2 linked regions of the Tribolium castaneum genome follow. The protein of the gene in region 2 interacts with the protein of the main gene of each other region in a biochemical or structural test. Links are inferred from orthologs where the notes say so. Each region holds a gene or a part of one and is shown on either strand. Other genes may lie near its edges.

Region 1 (3,156 bases), about 10 Mb from region 2:
GCAAAATCGTACTGTCAGATATTGTATTTTTGCTTTAAGTTCAGCATTTTCCTTTTTGAGAAAATACATTTCTGCTTCAAGAGCCGCATGTGACACCAAGGGTGCTTGCACACCCATAGATTCTAACGGAGCATCTTGAATTATATCTGCTGGTGCTGCAACTACGGCTGTAGACGTCGATGGCACTTCCTCTAAATTCATTGTCGATGGTACTGTTTCTTCCGGTATATCAACACTATTCAAATGATCAAATTGTAAATCAATTTAAAACTAGGATTCACTTTTTACCTTAATGATTCAGCGGAACTAGAACAAGAAGGGAGTCCTTGTTTTTTCATCTTTTTTTTTTCTGGAGATTCCACTTGAAAATAGGCTCTTTTTGCGATATTGTGCAAAAATAATTCAGGACCATTTTCCTTTCTTCCATCCCGAAAATGGCAGCTGCAAACGTAGGCTCCTGGTCCGGGTTCTACATCTCTTCTACATTTAACAATGAAACAAGCAATTAAAAATTAATATCAAAACATCTATTAAAAATTACCTCAACAATTTTTTCCATAGTGCTCGTTCTTTTCCCGACTTAGGAAAACTAAAAAAATGGCATTTATCGCGAGTACTATAGTGTTTGCAATCTGGAGCCCAACACATTCCCATAGTTGTGATGTAAAAACCTACTACACATGAACTATCAAAGTATCGCAACAAAATATTATTCACAAATCATACCTAATGATGTACCACAAAAATGAGATAATGTCTTGGAAAAACAGAATTTTAAAAATTCAAGAACACGAAGATATGGAGAACGATCGGAAAAAACACGATAACAAAAGACACTCACGAAAGAAGCACAGAACTCACAACCCGTACTACTTTCAACCATGTATGTGCCTGAACCCTCTACCCTCGTATACCTGCTATTCATCCCTCGTGATGGGGGAGGGGGACAGAAAACAACCCGTTTATTGGGGTTGCGCCGGTTGCACCCCATGAATTCGTCATTCAGAAGAAATCCAATGTCATTAGTGTGGCAAACCATTTTTCCCTCAGTTTTAAAAGGCCACATAATAATTTACATCAATATGATGTCCAAATTAAGAAAAACTGAATTTTGAAGTTTGAAAAAAGTTAGGTTAGAAAAGGATTTATGTGTTCAACTTACAGAAATATTAGCTCAGTTGCTAAAATCTTTAAGAAACGACATTGCATTTTTCATAGCTATCATTTCTCTGTAAAAGTAATGTTCCTACACTTCTAGCATTAAAGAAATACGAAAAACTTTTAAATGCCCATAAGAAAAGCATTGAAAATGGCGATTGTTTAGCTTTAAGGTGCTGACCTACCTCAAATGTCTACGTCACACTGATAGCGCGTATTCTGATTGTCAGAACCGACATAACCTCTACAAAAAGTTCTCCAAGAAAAATTTGAGGAAATGAGTTATTTGAGTTGTTTTAATTGAAATGTCTTCCGCCTTGGTTCAGAAAGCTTTAGAAATTGTAGATCCTGATTTTAGGAAACAAGCTAAAGGTAAAACCTTGCATCTTTTGTTTTATTTTTTTTTACTTTACATTTTAGTTAAAAAGTCGAAGAATAATACAAAAGATGTGTTCAACTTGATACCCGATAAACTAAAAATAACGAAAAATATTAGTAGAAAAGGACGCAAAGGTATAATCACATGATAAAACTGTGTTGTTGACACCATGTATTTTTTTTCAATTTTAGAAAAAACAGGAGTTTTGTCAACTTCAAAGAAACTAACAGTTTTAGAAGCGAAGAAAACTTTTAAGAGCAAGGACGAGATTTTGAAGGAAAATTTGAAAAAGCTTAAAGAAATCAAAAATGTTTGCACTATTGAACTTGATAAAGAAACTACAGAAAAGGTGCAATCCTTCTTACCATATGAAATGTTTATTTAAATATACTTTGTCTTTAGATAATTCAAAGGGCGGTCACTCGAAGGCCTGTGAAAGAAAAGAAAAAACGCAAGAAGACCCAAACAACTGTCTTCACTGAAGAAGATTTTAAGAAATTTGAAGAGGAATACACAGGGTAAAAATGGCAGTGTCAAATAAGGTTTATGGTATAACAATGCTAGGTTTGAGTGTCTTAAGTATTTTTTATATGTTTTTTATGTTAATAATTGTACCAATTTTGCCCCTTAATGAAGACAATATTTTAAGTTCGCTTTCACAAACACCAATTCTGTTAGTGAGTGGAATTTGTGGCCTGATTTTTTGTGGTGGTTTATCAGTTTTTACTGTTTTTGTAATGATGAAAGGAAAATGGAGACTCTTGTGGACAAACAGAAAATAAATAAAGTACAAATTGTAACTAATTTTCTAATTTACATACCTACCGACTGTGCCAAAAAAAAATTGAGGATACGTTCAAATGAAAAAACAAATAATCACAGAAATCAAATGTATTGGAACATTAATAAATACATAAAACAGTACACTTAATTACTGATAGGGGCTCCGGGAGAGGCTCATACCCCACCAAGACCTAAAAAAATAGTCTATCTACATATTGTTTCGAACACAGAAAACTTACATTTGTCTGCAATGTACTGACCGCTCCGATGTAACGAAAGCTCTCCCTCTACTGCCCCGCGCAATCCTAGTCGATGCCAAAAGCTCCCTACTGAACTTATTATACCCTGTCGGCCCAGTTGGCTGTGCCCCACATGTCTCTAAAGCCACAAAATCATCCACATGTAACGAGGGTGGTCTTGAAGTATTCGGCGGCCTTGAACGGAACAAATCCGACCTCTGCTGAATAGTTCTTGGGAAACCACGCGACCTAACCGGAGTAACTAAAAAACACCATTAAACCAAAACCTAAACTATCATCTCAAAAAATACTGAAAGGTTTCTTCGTTTTCGTCTTCTGGTCGTTATCATGGTTTTCCTTTTCGTTGCTATTATCTGAGGGACAGATTCGACACAGTTTTTCGATTTCTTTAGCGATGTTAAAGTCTTGGGGTAGATACTGACGGGCGATTTCGGCTAGGTCACATGATACATTCTCGTTTTCGGATTCGTCATTCGCCATCGATAGCCAATATCTTATTGTCAGTCTTTCGTCACAAACGTCCGAATTGTTGAAAATGAGCCGACCGGAAAACTGGACGAGGAGAGTTTCCGGTTC
Region 2 (3,836 bases):
ATCATTCCTTTAAGCATATTTTGTTAATTTTGTTATGACTCCACAAAAAATAAATAAATAATGTTAAATTTTTTTTATATTTTTTTACTTTATCGAATTTCATTTTCTCAAATGTTACCGACTATTAGCCATGGCAATTTCGGAGTAAAGTAATCAAAAGACGCAAACTTCGTTTACATTGCATTTTTTGACGAGTATTTTGATACTAAAGTGGAGGCTGCATTATTTATATCTCAGAAACTATAACTATGAGGCAAGTTGAGTTATTTTAACTTCTTTTGAGCTTTACTATTACCCCTAAAATGTATGGAATACTATCAAATCCACCCCGTACCTAATACTTTTCCTGACTTTTAAATTGGAGAGCAAATGAATATCAAGAATTTTTTGTATGTTCATGATTTAGTAAGGCTAGAAAACCAGATAAATAAAATACATAGTAAGTTATATGATTAGAGATTGGTAAAACTCATTCGATTTTAGTTTTCCCCTAGAAGATTAGACATGCGGAAGTTATTTATAAGTGTGTAAAAATTGGAAAATCCCAACCAAAAAAAAAGTACAATGGTATCGAATACTCACTTTTGCCTGAAAGTCATTTCAGGATGAAAAAAACCATTATTTTTTTTGTTTTTTTTTACGAAAATGGATTATTAATTATTATCAATCAGTAACTATTTTTTTTAATGTCATTTTTTAAAAATAAAAAAGATATAACATATTGGGCTGAAAAGTAAAAAACCAACATGTTTTTCATAATAGGGACTGTAAAACAATCGACAATACATGCATTACGTACAAAAACTAAGCGGACAAAAGCATTTAGAACGAAATTAAATAAAAAAATTGAGCGATGGGATTGTAAACGTCATTTTTTTTTGATAGGAATATCACCTGATTGCGATTCCGGTTATGAAGCATCCACGTTAGAATCAATTCCAACTTCTTCACACCAGACCTCACCTCACACTGACCCCGGCGATGTCCCAGAGAGTTTATCCAGTCTTTCCGAAATATTTCTAACACCATCCCGAACAGATCAAGCGGACACATCTCAGGACAGTATCGAAGCCGACGATGACAATGCCTCCACAGTTAGCGAAATAAGCGGTCTTTCGGACCTCTCTGGACAAGATTGGAAACCAATGGCTGGCAGCATGATTTGGGTACGATATAATTACCATAAACAATCTTTTTTTTCTGTAGTAGCTGTTAAACTATTTCTTTATCAACTCTGTTGAGTAAATCTAATAGCACTGTAATTTTTTTTTTGCAAATACACAAACTCTTTATCGTCTTGTATAATAAATAACTAATAAATAATTTTCCGCAACAGATTCAAAAACAGATGCAAAACGGCGTGAATCCCCGAACGCTGCTGAGCGATCTGGGTGTGGATCTGGATCAAGTGCCGCAATATGTAGACGAAATAACTCTCTGGAAATTAATTATAAACATGTTGGCCGAGCCGCCACGACGGAACAAATTGCGACATGTTAATACTTTGGACGATGTAGTTCGATTGGTTAAAGGTTTGTCATTTAATTCATAAATGAGTGGTGTTTTTTGACGGAAGTTTGGTTTAGGAGCACAAAATATAATAGTTTTAACCGGCGCTGGAGTGTCTGTTTCGTGTGGAATTCCAGACTTTCGATCACGTGATGGGATTTACGTTCGACTGGCGATAGATTTTCCAGATCTTCCAGACCCGCAAGCAATGTTTGATATCAGCTATTTCAGTCAAGACCCTCGGCCCTTCTTCAAATTCGCACGAGATATATATCCAGGAAAATTCACGCCAAGTCCTTGTCACAGGTAATGATTTGAAAATAATATTTTAAATTATTAATTTTTTACCAGTTTGTCCAATTTCTTACCTCAATTGTGGAACGTACGTGTAGTATTTTATTGCCAGAATCATATTATTACTCTGGAATTTGTTTAAAAAAGATGACTTTTTTACTATTTTAACCAGTGATTTAAATACTTATTTGGTTTGAGGCAAGTGATTTATGAATTAATGTCTAAACTAAAACAAAACGTACAACTGATTTCACCGTTGCTAAATGTATTTTTGAAACATTTTCAAAACAGATAAACAGATAAAACTTTGCTTTCATACGTATAGTAAGCTTCCTAATGTTCTGAAAATAACAGCGAAATTATTTTTATGAAATTACAATATATGTCATTTTACCGGGATTCTTTTGAGTTTAATTGCATAAGTTTTTATTTAAAATTTAAATTTTATTTGTTTAAAGACATGTTAGCATAAGATGAAATAGCGTAATTGTGATCCAATCTGAGATCTTTGGGCTTATAAGTGTTTTCAAAACAAAAATAAACAAAGTCATTTGGAATTGGCTGTAATAGTATTATTATAGTAAGGCTATGAATTTTTCAACTTGTTTCTGCCAATCTCTTGAATTCAGGGAGTTTTTTTTATTCGAAAACGACATAGATTGCTCGGAAGCGGCTGAAATAATCTTACTCTGTCTCAAAGCAAGTATTTTTAATTGAGCTTATGGTGCAAAATTGAGCTAATGCTTCAAAATTTGCATCAATAGTATTATTTTCACCTAAAATATTTTGCTGTTATTTTTTTTTGAGTAATAAACTTATAAATGAATCCATTACTCACATACTACAGCGACTGTTTTCCAAGTTTTTGGGCATATTAGAGGAAAACTTGTTTTAAAATGAGTTCAATTTTTTAAATTGTCTGAAGTATCATTATTTTGACTTAAAACAAATATTGGGCAGATTTAGCCAATTTTTTTGAACTAAGTGAGTTTCTGGTGCAAAAGTGGGCAAGATACCACAAAAATACGGTTAATTGTATGTTTTAAACAGTTTCACAAAAGGCGAAATTTTGCTTTCTTATTTTTATAATCAAAATTTACGAACTTTCTATTTCCAACTTTTCGGAAATCAAGGAAGTTTTTATCACGGTTTCCATCTGTTGTGCAATGAAAGTGTTTATCTACATAAGTTTTATTTAAAACAGATTTTCTGTTCAATATTGAACAGAGTTTTTTTTTTGAATAATAAATTACTCCGATACACACATACCATAGGGATTGCTCTCAATTTATCGGAAATTTTCAGAGGAAAATTTGTCTAAATTGTTTGGAATTGGCGGAAATATCATTATTCTGACCTAAACTGAATATTGTCTGTCAGATTTCGCCAAAATTTCTTGAATTAAGTGAGTTTCTGAATAATAGAATAAAAAAATATTATCTACCGGTTTCTTGGTCTGTTTTCAATTTCGTGGAAATTTTTAGAAGAAAACTTGTTTTAAAATGAGTTCAACAGCCTGGAAGAGGTTGAATTAGCATTTTTCTGGCCCAAAACAGCAATTTTTTGGCTGATTTATTCGATTTATAATTTTTTTTCCGAATAAGTGAGTTTCTGGTACAAGAACGAGCTTAATCTTTCAGTTAGTCCTCTGTTATAGTAAGCCAAAAAGTATCTTTATTTTTTTCAACTAATTTCGTGAATAAATTGAAATTATATAATAATAGAGTGTTTTTTGTTTAGACATTTTAAAACATCTTTTTATTAGATATAGCGTTATTTTGTCTTAACACGACAATGTTTTGGTTTCCGTCGCCAAAATATTTTGGTAAATTATGTTTTTGGCTCAAATTACAACTAAATGACTTGACATGCCCAAGAATTGAGCTTAAAGTTTGCCGAAATACCATTGTTTCCACTCATAATTATGGAGAGCTGGTTTGTTTTGGCAAAATTTCATGAACTTGGCTTAGTATCTGTTTAAAAAGTGCTCGAAATTCTCTGAACTTGTTGCGTTGTTCTTTTTAAATCTGAAG

What was found.
Region 1: the proteins of Sirt1 (region 2) and active regulator of SIRT1 form a complex in vitro, tested with the Homo sapiens proteins (2 studies listed by BioGRID and IntAct). The link is inferred for Tribolium castaneum from reciprocal best matches to the Homo sapiens genes SIRT1 and RPS19BP1.

The regions. Positions count from the first base shown.
Region 1 is NC_087394.1:22,070,463-22,073,618, reverse strand, and holds active regulator of SIRT1, read left to right. Parts: upstream 1-1,378; 5' UTR 1,379-1,463; coding exon 1,464-1,530; intron 1,531-1,578; coding exon 1,579-1,671; intron 1,672-1,728; coding exon 1,729-1,886; intron 1,887-1,939; coding exon 1,940-2,059; 3' UTR 2,060-2,337; downstream 2,338-3,156. Other genes in the region: uncharacterized protein LOC135265385, read right to left, coding at 1-235, 289-480, 542-674, 727-1,066; vir (protein virilizer), read right to left, coding at 2,469-2,511, 2,560-2,821, 2,871-3,156. UniProt on the Homo sapiens protein: Part of the small subunit (SSU) processome, first precursor of the small eukaryotic ribosomal subunit.
Region 2 is NC_087394.1:11,919,912-11,923,747, forward strand, and holds part of Sirt1 (NAD-dependent protein deacetylase sirtuin-1), read left to right. Parts: intron 1-885; coding exon 886-1,166; intron 1,167-1,336; coding exon 1,337-1,532; intron 1,533-1,586; coding exon 1,587-1,815; intron 1,816-3,836. UniProt on the Homo sapiens protein: NAD-dependent protein deacetylase that links transcriptional regulation directly to intracellular energetics and participates in the coordination of several separated cellular functions such as cell cycle, response to DNA damage, metabolism, apoptosis and autophagy.